Oryza sativa Japonica Group: one gene and its partners. The protein of the gene in region 1 binds, or shares a complex with, the protein of each later gene. Links are inferred from orthologs where the notes say so. Each region holds a gene or a part of one and is shown in the gene's direction. Other genes may lie near its edges.

Region 1 (4,291 bases):
CTAGTCCTGCCAATGCCCTACCTTTTTTCAAGCCCCTGAGCGAATGCAATTCGTGCTCATGAGTCATGAGTGCCACTTTTACTACTAGTAGTAGGATAGGTTAACATACAAATTCTGATACATGGCCTAGGCAGGATTACCATTGATCTATTAACTTTCAACTGAAATCATAAGCTACTAAGAGCAAGTTCAAATAGTATAGCAAACTACCAGCTCTAATTTATCTATAGTCAATCTAATAGCTTATTTATATAATAGTTACATACTACACTATTAATACCTGGTCCCACATATCATACACACACGGCGTCTTGGAGTCCGTGCTACGGCTGGCTACAAATCTATAGCCCACTGCTCTTCTCTCTCCTTATTTATCTTCTTAAAATATGTTTACAGCTGACTTATAGCCTACTATTATACCTACTCTAATAGCGTAGTGATGATTAATTCCTGAGCTACACATGCCACTTAGTTATATAACTAGAGATATGCAACCAATACCAATCAAAGAAGTACAAGGTAGCTATTTACACCCGTTAATCAAATTCAGTCATATATAAATCGAACGGTTAGATTGTATGCATAACAATCTATTATATTGTTAAAGGAACAGAAAAAGAAGTCTCCACGTTCGCTCTCATGGCCTAGAAATTCTCACATTAATCGGAGAAAAAGAAAAGGCAGAATCCATATAGAAATACAATTTAAAAATAGCTGAAATTCAGAATTAAAAAATAAGGAATATTAGAAGAGGAGACTAGAGTCTATATAGAAATACAATTTAGAAATAGTTGAAATTCGGAATTAAAAAATAAGGAATATTAGAAGAGGAGACTAGAGTCCATATAGAAATACAATTAGGAAATAACTGAAATTCGGAATTAAAAATAAGGAATATTAGAAGTAGAGTATAGAGTCCATATAGAAATACAATTAGGAAATAATAGAAATTCGGAATTAAAAATAAGAAATATTAGAAGTAGAGTATAGAGTCTGTATAGAAATACAATTAAGAAAAAAAAATAGAAATTCAGAATTTAAAAAAATAAGGAATATTAGAAGTAGAGTATAGAATCCATATAGGAATTTAAAACTAACTAAAATTCAGAATAAACATAATAAAATTAAAAGTAGAGTTTAGAGTTCGTATAAAAATATAATTTACAAATAACTAAATTTCAAAATTAAGAAAAATATGGGACGAAGAGTTTAAAGTCAATATAGGAATACAATTTAGAAGTAACTGAAATTTGAAATTAAAAATTAAAAAATATTGAAAGATGAGTTTAGAGTCCAAATAGAAATACAATTATAAATAATAAAAATTCAGAATTCAAAAAAAATAAATATTAAAAGACGAGTCTAGAGTCCATATAGGAATATATATAATTTATAAATAACTAAAATTTGATATTAAAAATAATTAATAACTAACATGTATATAAAATACAATATGAATATTACACATTAGTAGTTTCGTAAAGTTATAGCAAAATTTAAAATTATGTTGTCATTTTAATATATTTGAATAATATAATGAGAGAATATATATGCTATTATATGAGAGAAAATATAATGATGCTAGCCGCGCAATATTGCGTGGGCCACCATGCTAGTTTTATTAATTCCTTCCAGGTAGCTGTCAAAGGAGTAGTGTGTAGTGTCGTGTGGAATTCGCGAGGATGTGCATGAACTTGCCAAGGCAGGGATGCAGTTGCGTGACAAGGACACACGTGAAATGTAGCGAGAGAAGAGTCGTAGTAGCGGGCGCGACCGCGGGAGTGTATACGGAGAGATGAAGCGAGCTCTCTCCACCAAGCAAATCGCGAGCCAAACCAAGAAGACATCCACATGACGACGCCTCGCGCCACCACCACCACGTCGCCCTTCTCCTCTCTCCTCCTCCTCCCGATCTCCCCCTCCGCCGCGACTCCTCCGCGCCGCGCCAGGACGCCGCCGCCGGCGGTGGCACATGGCGGCGTGCGGTGGACGGCTGGCGGGAGGCGGCGACGGCGAGGGTGCCGGGCGGCGGCGGCGGTGGTCGAGGACGGCGTGCTTCTCCCCAAAGAACAGGAGGACGACGCGTCGGCGGCGAGATACGACTGGAGGGAGGAGTGGTACCCGCTGTACCTCGCCAAGGAGGTGCCCGACGACGCCGCGCTGCCGCTCACGGTGTTCGACCGGCAGCTGGTGCTGTACCGCGACGCCGCCGGCGTGCTCCGCTGCCACGAGGATCGGTGCCCGCACAGGCTAGCCAAGCTATCCGAGGGCCAGCTCGTGGATGGCAAGCTGGAGTGCCTGTACCACGGGTGGCAGTTCGACGGCGAGGGCAAGTGCGTCAAGATCCCGCAGCTCCCCGACGGCGCCAAGATCCCGCGCAACGCGTGCGCGCGCAGCTACGAGGTGCGGGACTCGCAGGGCGTGGTGTGGGCGTGGATGTCGGGGACCAACCCGCCGGACGAGCGGAAGCTGCCGTGGTTCGAGCCGTACGCGCGGCCGGGGTTCACCGACCTGTCCACGGTGCACGAGCTCCCCTACGACCACTCCATCCTCCTCGAGAACCTCATGGATCCCGCGCACGTCCCCATCTCCCACGACCGCACCGACTGGACGGCGAAGCGGGAGGACGCGCAGCCGCTCTTCTTCGAGGTCACCGAGCGGACGCCGCGCGGGTTCGCCGGATACTGGGGGAAGCAAAGGACGCCACACCTTCGCAACCTGCTCCGGTTCGAGGCGCCGTGCGTGCTTACCAACACGCTGGAGTTCGTCGACAAGGACGGCAAGGAGCAGTGCTTCTCGGCGCACTTCCTCTGCCGCCCCGCGGGGCAGGGGAAGTCGATGCTGCTCGTTCGGTTCGGATCCACCCAGACGTCGCCGCTGGTGAAGGTGCTCCCGAGGTGGTACTTCCACCAGAACGCGTGCAAGGTGTTCGAGCAGGACATGGGGTTCCTGTCGTCGCAGAACGAGGTGCTGCTCCGGGAGAAGGTGCCGACCAAGGAGCTCTACCTCAACCTCCGGTCGTCGGACACGTGGGTGGCGGAGTACCGGAGGTGGATGGACAGGGCGGGGCACGGCATGCCGTACTACTTCGGGCACAGCACGCTGTCGCCGCCGCCGGTGCCGGCCGTTGTCGAGCAGGCGCCGGCGGGGGCGGTCGCCGGGATGTCCGCGTCGTTCCCGGCCAAGGGCGGCGTCGGCGCCACGCACGCGCCCAACCCGACCAACAGGTACTTCCGCCATGTCGTGCACTGCAAGGGGTGCAGGGACAGCGTCAAGAGGTACGCCTCGCTCAAGAACGCCTTCGCCGCGCTCGCCGCGGCGGCGGTGGCGGCGGCCATCCTGGCGGCGACCAGGCAATTGAAGGCCGTCCTGCTGGCGTCCGCGGCCGCGCTCGCCGCGGCGTCGTACGCGTGTAACTGGGTGCTGTCTCTCATCACGACCAATTTTATTAGGACACACAGGAGACTGTAACCGTGGCAATGGCTGTCATGCTTTGGCACATACTAATAGCAAGGTAGAATGGTACAGCTATTTCATTATTTTTGCCCTTGTATATTTGTATCACTACATGAGTAAACGACGTTTAGTTATCGATAGTTTTGTTATGAGTGATGAATGATCTGCATCGTACTGCCAATGCCTTGCATTCTCAAATGGTTGCACACTTGCACTCATACAAAGTTAGTACACTCCATCATATTATAAATTACTTTTTTTTCAAGTTAAATTTCCTGAAAGTTTGATAAAATTTATAGAAAAAATATAACGACGCTTATAACACTAAATTAATTTCATTACATCTAACATTAAACATATTTTGATTTTTTTTTGTTTTGTGTTAAATATATTACTATGTTTTTCTATAAACTTGATTAAACATATAAAAGTTTAACTTCAAAAAAAAGTTAAAATGACTTGTAATATAAAACGTAGGCAGTACAATGCGAATGTAGGGTACTCCATCCAGCTGAGGTAAACCAACTCCAATATATATACAAACACAAACAACGTACCCAATTTTTACTGTTAAAATACAGGCACAATGCCTGGTATCACACGTTATTAAGTAGACAGACTCGATAACCATGACACGGACAGGGACTTCTTGCCACTGGTTTACGCACGGTTAATATTACAGACCACACATAGAGAGACGGCTTAGCTATTTGCAAATAAGCTTGACAAGATAGATGATGCTCCAAAAGGATGCGATCTCAGCAGTTGAGTACTTACGCTGGTTCATCTAGAATTCCCTATCGGGGAAGAGGAGTGGGGCGACAAGGGACCAAAT
Region 2 (4,106 bases), on another chromosome or scaffold:
TATCTGTGAAGAGTTACAGTTTGATCCGGAACTTGCTAGTAAGATGCATGAAGGTACCTTCTTGACACCTTCTCTTGTTACACTATAATTTTCACAGCATACCTGTGCTTAGCTCGACTGCCTAGTCATTTATTGAACGGAGAACTGGTTTTCACCTGATGGCTCTGTGCAGAAAATCACTATACACCATCAGCTCTATGTTGACACTGCTGAATTGTTATCCTAGACCGTATGTAGGAAGTACATCTGTAGCAATTCAGTTGTCTGCATTTTGGTTCATCTGGGCTGTATTGCTTCTCATGATTAGGAATGGATATCCAATAGAAAAGAAATAAGACAAATGTGGTGGGACTAGAAGTACTATTTGTCTCTATGTTCATGTTAAACAGCATTACTATTTGTAAGATAAGATATTCCTCACCATTCCATCTTAAGGTACATCATCACATGCTTTAATAAAGCATCAAAGTCCCAGAAATGCTATCGACAAGTGTGAGTTCCAAGAAATGCCATCCTACAAATGATTTTGTCCCAAAAATGCCATCGCCGTTAGGGTTCTGTTCCATTCTGCGCTGTAAAATACACTGTTCGTCCTATAGAACTTAATGGCGCGGAATGGACGGAACCCTAACGGCGATGGCATTTTTGGGACAAAGTCATTTGTACGATGGCATTTCTTGGAACTCACACTTGTTGATGGCATTTCTGGGATTTGGATGCTTGTCAATGGCATTTCTTGGATTATCTCTATTAAATATTAGTTGGCAAACATGCTTTTTTCGAGATGTTCTCTCCTGGTTGCTTTCCTTGATATATTGTTAATACCCACTCATATTATGCTCCTTCGAACTCCAGACATTTACAGGCAGAAGCTTCAGCAGTTTGTAGCGGATGGAGAGCTGAACAAGGACGAAGTGGAAGCTTTGATGGCATTCCAAGTGCGTCTCTGCATTCCACAAGAAACTGTTGATGCTGTCCATTCAGAAATCTGTGGCAAGTTGTTTGAAAAGGTGATATGAAATATTCTATGTTGCCTGTTCTATATTTCCCTTGTTCAGGCAAAGTTGATGGCCTGTTCTGTGTTAGTGGTGTTCTTACAACCGTTAGTGCTTTGCAGGTTGTCGTGGAAGCAATTTCATCTGTTGATGGATATGACACTAATAGACGACAGGCTGTTAAGAAGGCAGCACAAGGTCTGAATTTGAAAAACGAGTCTGTCATGGCCATTTTCAGCAAAGTGGTATGTTAATCCCCATTACCAAAAAAAAGTGCTAGATGATATTATTTTTCAATATATTCCTACTGTGAATGAAATTCACTTCTATATTACCAAATCCATGACCAGGTACGGAAGTTATTCCTGAACTACATTCAGAGAGCAAAAGCAGCTGGGAACCGCATTGAAACTGCAAAAGAGCTGAAAAAGATGATATCCTTCAACACAGTAGTTGTGAGTGAGCTTTTAGCTGACATTAAAGGAGAACCAACAACTGCTGAACCTCAAACATCAGATGCAACCTCAGAACCTGAAGTCAGCGAGTCTGAGGGGGATGATGAATACGAATGGGAACAGCTGGAGACATTAAGGAAAACTAGGCCTGATAAAGAGCTCAGAGAGAAACTGGCAAAGTCAAGCCAGAAAGAGATAACCCTCAAAGATGACATTCCATTGAGAGACAGAGCTGAGCTGTATGAAACATATTTGGTGTTCTGTGTCACTGGGGAGACGACCAATGTTTCATTTGGAACAGCAATCTCCACAAAGAAAGATAATTCAGAGTATTTAATGCTGAAGCAATTAGGAGACATACTTGGTTTAACCCGCAAGGAAGCTCAGAATGTTCACATTAAGATGGCAGAAAAGGCATTTGTGCAACAGGCTGAAGTGATTCTTGCTGATGGGAAGTTAACAGAGGCCAAGGCTGACCAGCTTGCAAAGATACAGAAGCAAGTTGGTCTTCCTACTGAGTATGCACAGAAAATAATCAAGAATATCACAACAACAAAGTTGTCTTCTGCAATTGAAGCCTCTATTTCTCGAGGACAGATTGGTATACAGCAGGTCCGAGGATTGAAAGAAGCAAATTTTCAATTGGACAGCTTGATTGCAGAACCACTTCGAGAAAACATTTACAAAAAATCCGTTGAGGAGATCTTTTCGTCAGGCACAGGTGAATTTGATGAAGAGGAAGTGTATGTAAAGATCCCAGCTGATCTCATCATTAATGCTGAGAAGGCCAAGTCGATTGTCCAGGACATTGCGAAGATTAGGTTGGATAACGCCCTTGTCCAAGCTGTTGCTCTGCTTCGGCAGAAGAAGAAAGATGAAGTGGTACGTAAGGAATATCCCTGCATATCTCCTACTTATTTGTTTTATGTTGGAACTTAGTTTCTCCAAGAATCTGAAAGATTAAAACACTGACTACAGTTATCAAAGTACTGATTTAGCGTTGACTTTGATCTTGGTGTATATCAGGATTAACCTATTCTTGATAACTGGCACGTCATAATGACAAAAGAAATTCAACTAGAGTATAAATAGGAAAGTTACAATAACTGCACTGTTAGAATTACTCAGCGTTCTAATTTTTACTTGGAATATATTGCCAATGCAGGTCGCATCCTTGAACGACTTGCTTGCATGCGACGCGGCTGTGCCTGCTTCGAAGCCCCTATCATGGCCTACATCAGGAGAGCTGGATGATCTGTACGGCATTTACATGAAGAGCATTCCGAAGCCTGAAAAGCTGTCAAGGTTGCAGTATCTGCTTGGCATAAGCGACGAGAAGGCCGGCCAGATTCGGGATGCCGCATCGGCAGGCACACTATCCGTTGCAACTGAAGAGGAGGATGAATTGGTATTCTAGGGAGGGAGATGTGAAGGTCTTTTTTTGTTAGGTAGCCAGCAGAGTTGAGGACCTACCATACTTGGTGCTGTGGCGCCAACCGCTGCTATTGTAGCTAGGCGCTGGCATATGGTTTTGAGAAGCAACGCATAATCCTGACGTGCGTTAACTGTTTGTATAGACAGAAATTGGCACCGAATTTGGTGACAAATCTCTTTTGCTGCATTTTTCATTTTCAGACCATAGCGAGAGCTTTTTTTTTTGTATTTTTTTTCTTCCCCTTTTCATTATGTATCACAGTCGCCACTGCTACCTCAGTCATAAAATCCGATTTTGTTGTAGCTCAACTGCAGCATATGATATGTGTCCCTTTGTATGGGTCATTGTAGCCAATATGTTTCAGCAATTTTTCTTTCAGTTTACATTATCAAACTGAGTGTGTACACCACACACCAAATGCTATGCGATGGGATTTCAAATTCCAATTCCTCAGGTTATGGATGGAACTTTCTCCTTTTATGACTTCAAAAATAAACGCGGCCACTTTGGGAAAAAAAAAACGGGGTGGGGGTGGGCGATTATGGATGAAAATTTTTCCTTTTATGACTGTAAAGTGAATGTACTCTGCCAGTTTGGTAACAAAAAAAAAAGGTATTCGGCCAGCATGTAACAGCATTGCAAACAGTTCTATACAACAAAATCATGATACAAGACCAGCATTCTCTCCAGAAACATCCATTGAATCAATGTAAACATTTTAGCCACATACAACAAGGGAGTCAAAGCTGTTGTTCTGTACAAGGGAGCCTAATAAGCTGAAGCCAGCAGGTCGAACCGCCCAGCAAGGTTAACCTCCTGTTCTACACATTATCGGGCCAAAATTCCCTGAAGAAAGCCATTTCAAATTCCCTCTCTTGTAACCGCTTCTCTTCTTCTTGCATCTTCCGTATCCTCTTCGCGGCCAACTTGGCCTTCTTCTTCGGTGCTTCCAGCTGACAAGGGCAACACGTTTGAATCAGTTAGTTAGAATCCCATCAGTAAGTGTGATTTACTAAAAGTAGCTTGTTGAAGATGAACAAATACATATCAAAGCAGCAGTATTAGCTACCAAATGAGACAAGTATTATAATGCATAAAGAATAACTGGTACCAATACAATTAGTAACGATGCAAGTAACCACGTTTATCTGTAAAGTCTGAAACCTTTTTACTGAACTACACTATAGAGCAGTCATCAGTATTTTTCAATAAAAAAGGCTA
Region 3 (4,914 bases), on another chromosome or scaffold:
TTGCTATGCAAAATTGTAAACCTACCTTTTTTTATATGTTTTTAGCATTCTTTTTAAAGGACTGTCTTCACTTTGCTTTTTGCTGGTTACGAAAAACACTATCTTCTGGTTGCTGCTTACACAAGCAACCTTTCGGGAATCTGAAATATGTTTGTTGATCACCAAATTAATGCAATAGTTTTGTTTATCTCCAAATCAGATACTCCCTCCATCTCATAATATAAGGCGCGCATGCATTTGAAGTTTCAACATTTCAAACATTTGACCAACACTTAGTATAATATAAAATGAATTTTATTTGTTAAAAATTATACCATTAGATCGAGATTTAAATTTACATTCATATGGTTATAATTTTGTTACTACAAACCTTATGGTATATGAGAAATTATAAGCTAAACATTCGTTTTGAAGACCGTGCCAACTTTGACCGCGCCTTATATTATGGGATAGAGGGAGTATTTGCTAAGATAAAATTACTTCTAATGGTTCACAACAAAAAATTCTTTTGGCTCACTGTAACTGATTACGTTTCCTTCGTCTATTTTTGTACAGGTTACTAAGAAGAAAGACTTGAGTGATTTTTACTTTGGTCTTAGTAAGAATGTTGCTTTCGGTGCACAGACACATGACAATACAAAACATGCTAAACCTGAAAAGTTAGACGAGAAAGTTCAAGATGCTAAAACTAGCAAGGTTGGTGCTGAAGTATCCGATCGCTCTCCTAAGCACAAAAGGGACTCCGGTGAAGGAGCAGAGACGGCCAATGAAAGTAGAAGTGTGGAAGAACCTGCTACAACTCAATCAAGGGATTCAGCTGCTGCTAGATCTACCGAGAAAAATGCAGATGTTTCCTTGGATGCTCCTCAGACCCAGACACCAGAAAATACCCAACCAGCTCCTCAGACCCAGAATCCACAGAATACTCAACCAGCACAGATCACGGATGAACACTATAAGAGAAATGCTGATGCACTTGCTGCTGCCAGAGAAAGAGCTCTGGCGCGGAAGAAAGCCAAAGCGCAGCAGATATGAAGTACGAGGCAGAGATACTCACCGAGTTTTTTCTTATAGGCTAAGGTCATCATATTCTTGTTTGAGGTTTCGGGAAGACTGTAAAATGATGGATGGTTTCACCCTTCTAGCATTTCCAGGAGATAATCCCCTTGGTTTGATCTGCATGATGCTCTACCTTGCTTGATCAAAATATATGTGCAGGCAACCCTTCAACGTTAGAATATCTCGTTCGGCTTTTCTGAACATTTGTTCTGCTGTAAGATGGGAAATAACTTAGCACAGTGAACTGAAGGTTGTATGCATATGTTCTCATTCATGTATACCGTTGTACTTTTGTAACTTGAGTGATTGAACGCGATATGATTTCTGCAATGGCACAAATTACTACTACTAGTTACACTCCATTCCATGGTGAACGGGATTACTTTAATTTTCTCTCTTCTCTCAAATTCAGAACCAAAACATTGAACTTTGTCAGTTAATAACAAGGCATAAAAGTTGTTTATTCGACTTTACTGGATTTCCCTTTTCATTTTTTGAACTGGCCCGAATTGCATTTTGAGATATTCGAATTTTGAAACATCGCATCTTAATTAGTAGTAGTATTATTTTTTTTCATCAGTGGTTAAATGTTGCTGTCTGCAATTAGTGCCTGAAATGAGCCGCTGACAGTCTGAAACTCTGAATGTCCCGATAGCGATGGATACTAGCCCCACGCAGCGGAAGGCGATGACTCCCCTCCGTTTCAGCTTCCTATCACTCACCGCAGGGGTAAAAGGGGGAACGTAGCCTACACAACACGAGCCCGAGGTCTCTCGTCGACTCACGCGCGCACCCACCCACCCAAAACCCTAGCGCGAGTGGGGAGGGGCGAGGGGGTGGTAGTTGTAGTAGCAGCAGCAGTAGAGCTAAGCTAGGGTTTTCCCTCCCCCCGCGCGCGCAGCAGGCGGCATGGAGAGCCTGGTCCTCGCCTCCTCCTGCTCCGCTTCTCCCCGCCTGCCTCCCCTCTCCGCGGCCCGCCGCCGCCGCCCCTCCTCGCAGACTCTCCCGGCGACGGCTGCGGCGTCCGGGCGGAGGGGAGCTGGGAGGTCCAAGCTCGTCGTCGTCGCCGCCGCCGCCGCCGCGGCCCGCGGGTCCGGGAACGGTGAGGGGGGTGGTGTGCTTCTGTGTGGGTGTGCTTCCGTTTTAGGTTTGTTCGTTAGATGCGAGCCGGATGCGCTCTTTGGGTAGGTGCGCGCTGAAAGCTCTCGTATGCGCTCGCTTCAAGTGTCCGTGCTATAGTGTTTTTTTTTGTGGGATTGTCAGGAATTTTATTATACTCTGTGTATCAGCTGGATCCATCGCTGTGCCATGGGCTTCGTTAGTGGAATTGAGTGTGTTATCCTTGCGAATTTAGTGACCTTAAGTCATGCATCCGTGATGGAATACTGTCTTTATTTTCGTAGTATGGTGGCAGTTGGTGAGTTAGTAATGGCCACCTTATCCAGTATTGGTAGTGTGGCAAATGATGAGTACAAAATGGTCAGCATATCTGTCCTTGTTTGTAGTAATAGCCGACGAATAGACAATCCCAATCAGCTTAGGATTTCCCCCATTTTAATCTTATGCTGCCGGAGGATCTCCATTATTCTGATTGTTTAGTTGTAACAACAGGTTTCGAGGGATTAAAGACAAATGGATTTGCAAGCATGTCGTCTTCGACCAACAGTGAGAATATGTCAACTGGAACGGGTTCCCTACCTCCCATGCCACCCCCATCGTCATACATGTGCGCCAGTTTCCCTTCTTTTGTCTGGCTACAATTTTCTCAACTTACACTGCATGATGACATGTAAATCCTTTGTGCAGCGGTTCGCCTGTTTTCTGGATTGGAGTTGGTGTAGCATTGTCCGCAGCATTTTCTATGGTGTGAATACAATTACCTGTAATGCTTTTTTGTGATTAAATGTTCTTAGAGTTGTATTTTAATACTTGGTGTTGGCTGTTATATCAGGTCTCTTCGATGGTAAAGGTGAGTTCACAACTTTCCTCTGTTTCTACATCTTCAAATGGTATGTACCCTATCAATTGCATACTTGATCTTGAGAATGACCCATGGTCACCTCTGCATACTAGTACATAAGCAAGAGAGGTATTTTAGTGAGCTTTTTTTGTGATGAACCTACATACCCACATGTGAGCCATGCCTTCCTTTCTAGTTCTTAATAGTTTGAAGCAATGCATGGCATATGTTCTAGCAAAGGTGGTACTGTTGCAGTGTACTCCCTCCGTACTCGTAAAGGAAGATGTTAGGACAATGTTTAAGTCAAACCTTGGGAATATAAATCATGAATAACTCTCAAGTTGTTGAGTTTGAAAATGTAAAAATTATATGAATAGATTTGTCTTGAAAAATACTTTCATAAAAGTATACATATATCACTTTTCAATAAATATTTTTATAGAAACAAGAAGTCAAAGTTGTGTTTTGGAGACCGTGTCGCTGTCCAGAACGACTTCCTTTACGAGTACAGAGGGAGTATTGTAGTTTTGTTAGACAATTCATTTTCTTATCACATAATTTCTAGTTCTTTTCAATATTGATAAAATAGCATAATATCCATGCATTGTGATGGATGTCAAAACAATTTGGTGTACTCCCTCCGATTCCATAATTCTTGACGTTTTGGACAAGGTTGAGGTCAAATTTTTATAACTTTGACTACCAATAACTTTAAAAATATTTAGTTTAAAGGTACTAGAACAGCATATTTAGATTTGTCTTATAAAGTACAATAATAAAAGTAAAAATATATATATTTATTATATATTATAATAGAAAAACATAGTCAAAGATATATTTTGAAGACCGTGTCATTGTCCAAAACATCAAGAATTATGGAGCCGGAGGGAGTACTCACTAAGATCAAATTTTTTTATATATAAAAGACTAAAGGAAGTCCTCTAATGTAAATTCTGCATGTAAAATATGATCATATCACCTCACCCAGCTTCAAAATATTGGCATGTAAAATAGTGCAATATTTTACAAAAAAAACCTATAAGTAACACACATGTATACATAAATTCACCCATAAAAGATCCAAAGTGAGGATGATACAGCATCATCACTTCCACTAGTTCTTTTAATTACTAGAGAGTTAACATTGTTGCACCACTTCTTTTCTCGAAAGTATATCGTGATGTATCCATTGTTGCACTGATTTAATTAATACAATGTTCTCTTTGTAGGTTTGATCTGTATAATGTCTTGTTGGAACTTAAAATCGTATAACTCTCCCTTGCTTGCCAGTTTTGACACATTGCTAATTCTGATGCAGAAATATGCAATGCAACAAGCATTCAAGTCAATGATGACCCAGGCACCGCCAAACACTTTTGGCTCAAACTCGCCTTTCCCATTTGCCATGCCACCACAGGCAGCTCCTGCAGCTCCTAGCAGTTACCCATACTCACAACCAAGGAAAGATACCTCTCCTCAATCTGCAACTGTCGATGTTTCAGCTACTAAAGTGGAAGCAACTGGAACTTTGGAAGAGGCTGATGTGGCTGAACAGCCAAAGAAGAAATTTGGTATTGGCCGTTTATCTCTGAGAATTCTTCTCCAACTATCAGTGAATAGGGGATGGAGCTTGTGATTAGTGTCTAATCTTATGTTTTCTTCATACTTTTGTCATGCATATCTCATGTTATTGTAACAAAATGTTTGCAGCCTTTGTTGACGTTTCTCCTGAAGAGTTGCAGCAAAAGGAACTTCAATCTTCACTGGAGACAGTGGATGTAAAAAGTGAGAGTAAACAGAGTGAAACTATGGAGGATACTGAGCAAAAAGTAAGTTGCATGAAGAAGCTTTGTAATAGGCTCCAAGTACAATTCAACTAATCATTTTCAATGATC
Region 4 (3,734 bases), about 3.5 Mb from region 1:
ATTGTGAGCTTGTGACTACTTAACTCAAATGTAGTTGGTACATAGACGTTACATGTTGGGGAATTGGGGATGTTAGGTTTCCTAATTACGCCGATTAAGAGAAGATATTCATGTATAGATGGGGGCGGGTTAGTGGATAAGTTAGTTCAACAGAACGTTACCGATCATGGTTCATGAAGGAAATTGTTATATATCAGGTTTTTCATACTTTGTGCAGACATTACTGCTCTTGCATCTTGAATTTCTCTCCGTCTCCTGAAGTTTTACCATGTAGTACTACCAACTGTTTCAGCAGTCTGAACAGATGCTGCTGGTTGTTGGGTGTATATATGCTCTGATTGTGTATTATAGAACACCAGAATGCACGGTGATGTATCATTTTTTTTACCACGGCTGTGCTGTGGTGGTGTATCGAAGTAATACATGCCTCTACTTGTTAACGTGCGAGTCAGTGCATCTTGTTTTCAGTGGCGATTAAGATAGGATTAGCACTGATCCAAGAGCGACCCAGCAGTTAAGTGGTCTTGTCCTACTCGTTATCGTCTCATCGATCGTTGGAGCACTCAGCTCGAAATGCAGTGAACCACCGCGAGAATAGCCGCTAGAGATGCGCGCGAATCTGGCACGGAGCGCGCGGCCGAGCCGAGCCGAGCCCATCCCACAGTGCACGGGGTTGAGTGCCTCGTCGTCTCCACTTCGTTGCCGATCTCTACTCGTCAACGCGCGCGAGGGACTCGACGTGCAACCGATCCCTAGGCGATCGCTCTGCTAGACTGCTACGTTCGAGCTCGTGCATATGCGCCTGGTTTTGTGCGATGGATTGGAGGATTAACGTTGACGCAAGAGCCATCTTGGGATCGAGTTTAATTTAATTTTACTAGTGCTCCATTCGACGGGAAACGTGCCAGTAGGAGGCAATGGGGATGAGATTGATGAATTTTCATATGGCAGTATGAGGCAATGGTAGATCCGCAAGCTGCATAGCTCGTGTAATTAGTAAACCATGCTGGTAGATTTGTAGTCTGCTTTTGTGCTAGTGAAGCAGTCAGTCAGGTAACTCTCGGGTGTGGAACGGAGGGAAGATTAACGTGCCACGCTGCTGCAGGCTGCAGCTGTTCTCCCCTTTCTTTTACAGGACCATCCAAATCCATTAAACGAAAATCACACATTATTACAGTTCGTACAACGAAAATCACTCCATTTCCTTGTGTGTGTCAGATCGCTGCCAGCCAATTGTCAAGTGCCAACGGCTGAACGACACACTACGGGCATTACGGGCCGCGCGCGCGGAGTTCAGCTTGAGAGGCGTACAACGCCTTAGCCCATTACGAAATCGCGATGCATATGGTACGACGAAAGCCTGGTAGCCCACGCAGGAAAACCGGCAAAACGCGTCTCAGACGAGGCCCAAACAGTACGCCTGATCCTTTCGGCCCAGTGAACAGCACGGCGCCGCAAGCTTTGGCCCATCTAATGCTCTTCCTGCCTGCCGCGGCGCCCTCGCCGTTGCCCTCCCGCACCAGGCACCACCAACCAATCTCCTCGTCTCCCACTCGGCCACATGCCCCACATCCCACCGAAATCTGGAAAAATCTCCACGCTCCCAACCCCGCTTCGCCTTCGCCCCGGTGGCCGCAGCCGCGCGGCGCCACTGCCCCCCAACCAGCCAAACTCCCCCACCTCACGGCACTGCACCCGCAAAAATCTCAGCTCCCACCCGCCGCGCCGCGCCGCGCCGCGCTGCTCCCCCAACCAAATCCCTTCTCCATGGCATCCGCCGTTTCGCTCCTCCTCCTCTCGTCCCCGCGCCCGCTCCGCCGCGCGGCGCCGGTGCCAGCGCTACGCTCCCAGGCGCGCCACCCCTTGCTCCTCGGCCACGCGGGCGAGACCGCGCTCGGGGTATGGGCCACGCGCGCCCGCCTGCCCGCGCCGCCGCCGCGCGCCTCCAACCCGAACAACGACAACGACAACAGCGGCGCCGTGGAGGCGCCCGACCGCCTGGTGGCCGCCGTCGCCTACCTCTACCCGTTCCTCGACGGCGTGCACCACGGCCGCTTCCTCCTCGCGCAGTTCCCGCTCTTCAGCACCCTGCTCAGCCCGCTCGCGCCGGCCGCGCGCCTCTTCCGCTCCTCCCCGCTCACGCCCTTCCTCCTCTTCCTCACCCTCTACTTCGCCGTCGTGCGCAACCAGCAGGCCTTCTCCCGCTTCGTCCGCTTCAACGCCATGCAGGCCGTCGCGCTCGACGTGCTGCTCATCTTCCCCGACCTCCTCGTGCAGTCCTTCGCGCCCTCCACCGGTGGCGGGATCGGCTTCGAGCTCTTCCAGAGTATGGAGAGCACCGTGTTCCTCTTCCTGCTCGTCTGCCTAGTCTACGGCGGGGGCGCGTGCCTGCTAGGGAAGACGCCGCGGCTGCCAATCGTCGCAGATGCAGCCGAGCGCCAGGTGATGTGATGAGCTTTTGTCAAATCTTGCTGGTGAAAAGGAACAAAGGAAAATGATATACACATCCATCTCGATGCCTCATTGATGTTAGTAGATCGCAAATTCACAAGTTCAGTTTAGTACAGTGATTATTTACAGCTGTAGTAACCAATTTAATGAATGGAGTTACGGAAGGTTGGTACAATGGCATTACAAAATTTACAATCAAGTGTATGAACGAATGAGTTGAATTGGGAATTTTTAGAGATAGCAATACATATACTCGCTATAGAATATGGAATTCTGGACTACATTTACAGATGATGAATGAGAAATTGGGGAGTGTCCTCAAGACCTCCCCTGAAGGAGCTTCAATGGTATATGAATGGATGCTTAGGTTAGTTAATTGTTGTTGCAATATAAATAAAATAATTGCATCAATTGGGGATTGTGGTTGCTGCTACCAAGTTATTGTCTGAACTTGATGATGTCTGAATTTTCTAGTTTGGAGAAAAAGTTCTAGCTTTTATTGCACCGCCTCTTGGTTATTTGGATGGGCTCTTCATCTTCATTGATCTGTGATGTGAAGTCAGGACAAAGGTACAAAATAATTATTAAGCAGACGATCTATATGTTCAAACATCATGAATAAATCAACTTTGTAAAGCTCTATACCTTTGAGTTGTCACTAGTATTATCTCTTGCTCGTTTGGCCAGGTTGATCTCTACAGCTATATTAGCTTGAGATGGATCTAGTCCTGACTTTTTAAGAGCTTCTGTCAATCTGTTGAATAATCTGTTGCAAATTGAAGTAGTATCCTGTTAGTTACATATTGTGCTAACTTTAGTCTTGAAGTAACAAATGGTTAAGGAACAGACCCTTGAGAGTAAGCGCTAGAAATACTATGGTTTTCATCGTGAAGGGTCTGTTTCTCATGCTTGTTCGGCATTTTGTTGCCTGGTTCAGACTCTTGGCGCATTGTTGACATGCTCAGCCATGGTGGCTGATTGCTGGGTGTGCTGTTCTCTGCGTTTAAAAGACATTAAAGTTAGTGGATCTAGTTCTTAATTACAAGAATTCTGACTGTTGAAAGGTGATAAGAAATGGACTTACTTTCCAAATTTTGTGGTGTGCCTGTTGCCATGTGGGAGGAACTGGTGGTTGTACTGGTTACACTCTGTGTGTTGAAGAGAGCAGGTTGTGCTGCCGATATGTGCTTGGGACCGTACTGTTCGTTGTTCATGTCCTGTGTGGATGGTGACAAATCTTCCCCCTGGACTTGACTGGTGTTCTGTGAGACCATGAACAAGAA
Region 5 (4,836 bases), on another chromosome or scaffold:
GCGTGGCTGGGGCAGTTCGACGCGGACGGCGACGGGAGGATCAGCCGGGACGAGCTGCAGCGCGCGCTGCGGAGCCTCAACCTGTGGTTCGCGTGGTGGAAGGCGCGCGCCGGGGTGCGCGCCGCCGACGCCAACCGCGACGGCGCCGTCGCCGGCGACGACGAGGTCGCCACGCTCTTCGCCTTCGCGCAGAGGCACCTCAACGTCAAGATCGCCGAGCTCGGCGCCTCCTACTACTGAATTAATTAACCTCCCTCTCTCTCATACTGTGATCGACAAGTGTGCGTGATCAGGATCGATGTACGTACGTAACTGTGTGAGATTGCGCGCTGTGCTGTGTATGTTTGTGTTTTTGCACATCTTTTGTGTTGACTTGATTTTGGTCTCGGAGATTCCACTCTCTATTTTTACTCTCGTTTCATCGATCACTGCGGGATTTGGAGAAATTATGTGTGATCTTTGTCGATCTCTTTAGGCCCCAATTTAAACTGACCATCGATAGCTTACTAACAAAGGGGAATTCAATTGGTGTTTGGTAAAGGCTATACTAGTATAGATTTTTAGAGGTTAAAAAAGTAAGATAATATCTAAAACGCAATCGATGATTGAGAAAATGGTTACTTACACTAATCATTAGTTAATAGGGCCAAGATAATTTAGGCACCACAATGGACAATTTAATGATTTGGCACTTTATTAGTCCGCAGTACTTTAATTGTATTGGTATTTATAAGGATGCTATATAATATCATAATGAGTCAATGATAATAATGGCTAAGTATGTTTGCGAAAGCGCATGTAGCATAGTTGTTACAAGAGTCTCAGTAGCACCTTAGGTCCTGGGTTTGACTCCCCATGGAAGCAAACTTTTCAGCATTTAACGGCTTTGTGCTTTCAGTGGTAGGCGACGTACCCGTCGACAACGAGGCGCCCGTGGTGATTTCGTCAATCTCCAGGATGCATTTGCCGGCCCAGTCTTCGAAGATGCTCATAGGGGTAAGGTTTGCGTGCGTGCGTTCATACTCATTTGAACAGTCCTCATATTTGCCTCATCTGTAAAGCTACTTGCTGGATCTGAGGGCTTTCAAGGAGACTGATTAATTTGTTTGGACTGAAAAACAACAACCGTTGGATGGTAGATGGACAGTGCACGCACATGATGTTACGTTGTAGCTCGATCCGATCCACGTCCCGTCCTCTTCCTTTGCACGCTGGCCAGCACATGATGTGTAGAGGTAGAGAGACGGTAGTCACCCACTTACCCTTAGATCTCTGTTTTTCTGAGGGCTTTTCAAGAAGTAGACTGATTAATTTGGGCTTTTTAAGAAGGAGACTGATTAATTTGTTTGGACTGAAGGCAAGAGAAACAACAGCCATTGGATGATAGATGGACAGTGCACGCACCTGACGTTACGTCGTAGCTCGATCCGATCCACGTCCCCTCCTCTTCCTTTGTGCTCCCTCCCCGTGCCGCCTGTGCCTCCACGACGATGAGGTGCCAATGCGGCAAGCAATTGGACCTCCACCTAAGCAAGGCAAGCCGCGCTGGCCAGCACATGATACGTAGAGGTACAGAGACGGTAGTCACCCACTCACCCTTGGATCTCTGTTCTTCCCCAGACAGCGTGCGCGGAGTTGAAAAATTTAGGGGCGAATAATTCCAATTCTATTGGTGATGCTCTTAGAAGCTAATTTCATCCTCCATATTGTAAGTTGTAACTAAACATATTTTCACTGAAAAAAATTGATAATTGAGCTTAACATATTTTCACTGAAAAAAAAAATGATAATGGATTGGCCGAAGCAAAACCCCCCGACCAAACCCAACCAAGGCCACACCAGTTGCAGTGCAGCACGACTCCACGAGGCCAGACGGTGCGGCTCGACCGAATCCGCACGCCGCCCGCGGCCCGCTCCTCGGCGACGCCGAGCAACACGACACCTCCGCGCGCCGCCATCCAAGTCGTCCGTCGCGTCGCGTGCCGAAAACCCAGCAGCAACCAGCCAACCACGATGCCGCCGCCGCCGCCGAACTCCTCCTCCTCCTCCTCCTCCTCCTCCTCCCTCCCGCTCGCCGCCGCCCCGATGTCCAACCCGTCGGCCCCCTCCTCCTCCTCCTCCTCCTCGTCGCTGCCCCCCAACCCCCTCGCCGCGGCCTCCTCCTTCCTCCACCACCACCTCTCCCGCCTCGCGTCCCGCTTCGCCGCGCCGCCGCGCCCAGCCCTCGCTGCTGTGACGGCGTCGGCGGCGCCCCCGGGGCCGCAGGGCGCCTCCGCCTCCCTCTCCCTCGCGCTCGCGCCCGACGAGGTCGCGCGCGCGCTCACCGGCACCCCCGTCTTCACCGTCTGCAACTCCAGCAACGAGTTCGTGCTCGTCTCCGACCCCGCCACCGGCCTCCGCTCCCTCGGCCTCCTCTGCTTCCGCTCCGAGGACGCCGACGCTCTCCTCACCCACGTATCCTCATCTTCCCATCTGTTATGCCTTTTGCTGTTTGATTTGTTCTTTTCGCCCTAATGGTTTGGGAGTTTGTGTGGTTTAGGTGAGGATGCGGCAGCCGGTGGTAGGGAGAGGGGCAAAAGTGGTGCCGATTACGCTTGATCAGGTGGGATTAAATCGATATTTTGTGATCAATTTTGTCATCACTCTTCTAGGACCAACTCTGCATAGGAAGAGTTATGGAGCATTTGGGTTTATGCAAGAGTTAAATAGGGACATACAGTTGTATGATAATTTAGTAACTGAATGACATATTAACGAGTAGCAAAGTGGGACCTGGATTTCTTCCAAGAGCAAATCAAGGAAAGCTGCCGTTTCTTATGTGCTGCCCCTTTTACCTAGCTTAGTCTATCTTTTCTTACAACACCCATGCTTTTCTTGCATATTCATGCTTGAGGGTTCTTGGGCTTAGGCTAGCCTCGTTGCAACTTCACTCGTTTCTACTTCATTCAATACAACTAGTATATTGCTTACATTTAACTATGCTGATTATTTTTTATGTTTTACAATGTAAATATACCTTAAGCCGTCCTTCTAAATGCAGGTTTACATGTTGAAGGCTGAAGGTATTGCATTTCGGTTCTTACCTGACCCTCTTCAAATTAAGAATGCGTTGGAGGTTAGTTCTTCTCTGGATTTGTGGCTCTTTGCTCCATCTTATCTATAAGTGGATATGTTTAGTACGCCCATCTGGCCATCATTCTATCTCACTAGAAAAGTGGAATTCAGTTCCTCAGGTTGACAGCATTACTCCTTAAAAGCATCAATGCAGCCATTGCATCTTCCAAAATTCCAATGGACTCCTTATATACCAATTTTACTCCCATTTAATGTTTTTAACTATTTACCAACAGTCCGAGATCTTTGCAGTTTGGGTATGTGTGTACCTATTTTCTGTATCACCACTCAAGACTTTACACATGGACTTGGTTCCTTGTATATATTATTGGTAGAGAAGTTGTACTGTCACTAATCATTGCCTTCACCAGAATGCACAAATGATATGCATACACTAGACAGATGCACGCAGAACACATGGAGTGCTGTCACATGTCAGCCTATTTCATAAGGAGAAAGTCCCTTCCTTGCAAAAGAAAAAAAAACATATGGGAAGGTGGCATTTTAAAATATAGATAATCTGTATTGTTTTTCCTGTTTCTTGGTGTGGACTGTCCACATTCAGTGGTTAGACTTCAGAGTATATCATGGAATGTACAACTCATGCCTTTTCACTCATGAATCATGAGTATATCAGAGCTGACGTCTTAACAGTGTATAGTATGTAGATTATTGCTATCTTATGCATTGTTTCACTAATGTAAGAATGCTAACAAACTTACTTCAGCCCAGTGACGATTATCCTTCGTTTTTTCAGTTAAAATCTGGCTTAACTGCTTTTGATGGTGTTCCTGTTTTCCAGGTAATACTCATGTCTGTATTATTTACTGAAAAATATACTTTTATGGAAAGCATTGAGACATACCCTTTGCGATTATTAAATGTATTTTAGAATATTAACAATAAATGTATTAAAGTTGATTTGCTGATTAATATCTTGACTCAGTATAAATTACTCGTGAACTTAATATTACCAAAGTGCATGGACTAATAGGTAGGTTCTGAAGCTATCTGCTTGTTCCTGTTAGTTATTAGCCCATGCCTATTTATTAAATGTAAATGCATGAACTGTCCTGTCATAATTTCTCGTTATTTGTCACATGTGTGCATCATTTTGTGAAGCTTTAGCCTTATCTTATTGGCACGACTTGTTGTACTAAAATAGGACTAGAAGATAAACGGATAGTCAAAAATTTTCAATTGAAAGTTTAGGCGTGCAGTAGTCTAAACCTTTTCATGGAATATCAGATCTTCTGATGTTTCGATTGTCATAGAACAAGGGAAGCCCTGATTTTCTTATCAAGGAAAAAACTGAAGTACACAGCTTTAGGTCCATCAACGCAGTTGGTTACATGTTTATTGCAGTATGACATGAAAAATCACGTGGAATAAAAGCATCATGGCAGGAGAGAATGCTTAACTTTCTTCCGGAGATGCTTGAACACTTTGTTTCAAGATATTGTGCCATTATATGTATGATTTTCCAATTATTCAGTTGTTTGCAGCACTGGACTTGTGAATTTGACAGGCTGATAGCTGTTTTTGATTATCATAGCGTTCTATCCTAAGTACAGACTATTTAAGACATTAAGTGATATATTCAGCATTTGGTGATTTATTCTTTCCAATAGCAATAATGTCCCATTTGAATGTGCAGTCAGACCTATTGGTTGTTAAGAAACAGAAGAAGCGTTACTGTCCGATATATTTTCAAAAGGTTTG

What was found.
Region 2: protein TIC 55, chloroplastic (region 1) and protein TIC110, chloroplastic share a complex: the UniProt entries of both Arabidopsis thaliana proteins name them as parts of the tic complex. The link is inferred for Oryza sativa Japonica Group from reciprocal best matches to the Arabidopsis thaliana genes TIC55-II and TIC110.
Region 3: protein TIC 55, chloroplastic (region 1) and protein TIC 40, chloroplastic share a complex: the UniProt entries of both Arabidopsis thaliana proteins name them as parts of the tic complex. The link is inferred for Oryza sativa Japonica Group from reciprocal best matches to the Arabidopsis thaliana genes TIC55-II and TIC40.
Region 4: protein TIC 55, chloroplastic (region 1) and protein TIC 20-v, chloroplastic share a complex: the UniProt entries of both Arabidopsis thaliana proteins name them as parts of the tic complex. The link is inferred for Oryza sativa Japonica Group from reciprocal best matches to the Arabidopsis thaliana genes TIC55-II and Tic20-V.
Region 5: protein TIC 55, chloroplastic (region 1) and protein TIC 22, chloroplastic share a complex: the UniProt entries of both Arabidopsis thaliana proteins name them as parts of the tic complex. The link is inferred for Oryza sativa Japonica Group from reciprocal best matches to the Arabidopsis thaliana genes TIC55-II and Tic22-IV.

Annotation. Positions count from the first base shown.
Region 1 is NC_089036.1:34,182,958-34,187,248, forward strand, and holds protein TIC 55, chloroplastic, read left to right. Parts: upstream 1-1,757; 5' UTR 1,758-1,851; coding exon 1,852-3,471; 3' UTR 3,472-3,596; downstream 3,597-4,291. Other genes in the region: uncharacterized protein, read right to left, coding at 4,244-4,291. UniProt on the Arabidopsis thaliana protein: Involved in protein precursor import into chloroplasts. Part of the redox regulon consisting of TIC32, TIC 55 and TIC62.
Region 2 is NC_089044.1:19,356,413-19,360,518, reverse strand, and holds the end of protein TIC110, chloroplastic, read left to right. Parts: coding exon 1-53; intron 54-855; coding exon 856-1,010; intron 1,011-1,117; coding exon 1,118-1,240; intron 1,241-1,345; coding exon 1,346-2,332; intron 2,333-2,615; coding exon 2,616-2,867; 3' UTR 2,868-3,201; downstream 3,202-4,106. Other genes in the region: uncharacterized protein, read right to left, coding at 3,707-3,838. UniProt on the Arabidopsis thaliana protein: Involved in protein precursor import into chloroplasts. Forms a voltage-dependent cation-selective channel at the inner envelope of chloroplasts, which specifically responds to a transit peptide.
Region 3 is NC_089038.1:22,289,826-22,294,739, reverse strand, and holds the start of protein TIC 40, chloroplastic, read left to right. Parts: upstream 1-1,889; 5' UTR 1,890-1,968; coding exon 1,969-2,161; intron 2,162-2,670; coding exon 2,671-2,785; intron 2,786-2,865; coding exon 2,866-2,923; intron 2,924-3,010; coding exon 3,011-3,028; intron 3,029-4,337; coding exon 4,338-4,590; intron 4,591-4,729; coding exon 4,730-4,848; intron 4,849-4,914. Other genes in the region: uncharacterized protein, read left to right, coding at 556-1,035. UniProt on the Arabidopsis thaliana protein: Involved in protein precursor import into chloroplasts. Part of the motor complex consisting of a co-chaperone (TIC40) and a chaperone (HSP93) associated with the import channel (TIC110).
Region 4 is NC_089036.1:30,722,001-30,725,734, forward strand, and holds protein TIC 20-v, chloroplastic, read left to right. Parts: upstream 1-1,544; 5' UTR 1,545-1,767; coding exon 1,768-2,451; 3' UTR 2,452-2,862; downstream 2,863-3,734. Other genes in the region: transcription factor BIM2, read right to left, coding at 2,941-2,997, 3,097-3,217, 3,301-3,448, 3,536-3,713. UniProt on the Arabidopsis thaliana protein: May be involved in protein precursor import into chloroplasts. Not redundant with TIC20-I, TIC20-II or TIC20-IV.
Region 5 is NC_089040.1:5,941,251-5,946,086, reverse strand, and holds the start of protein TIC 22, chloroplastic, read left to right. Parts: upstream 1-1,835; 5' UTR 1,836-2,013; coding exon 2,014-2,454; intron 2,455-2,539; coding exon 2,540-2,602; intron 2,603-3,040; coding exon 3,041-3,115; intron 3,116-3,871; coding exon 3,872-3,916; intron 3,917-4,771; coding exon 4,772-4,831; intron 4,832-4,836. Other genes in the region: uncharacterized protein, read left to right, coding at 1-240. UniProt on the Arabidopsis thaliana protein: Involved in protein precursor import into chloroplasts. Imported into the intermembrane space via the Toc translocon. May be involved in the import pathway used by proteins without a cleavable N-terminal pre-sequence.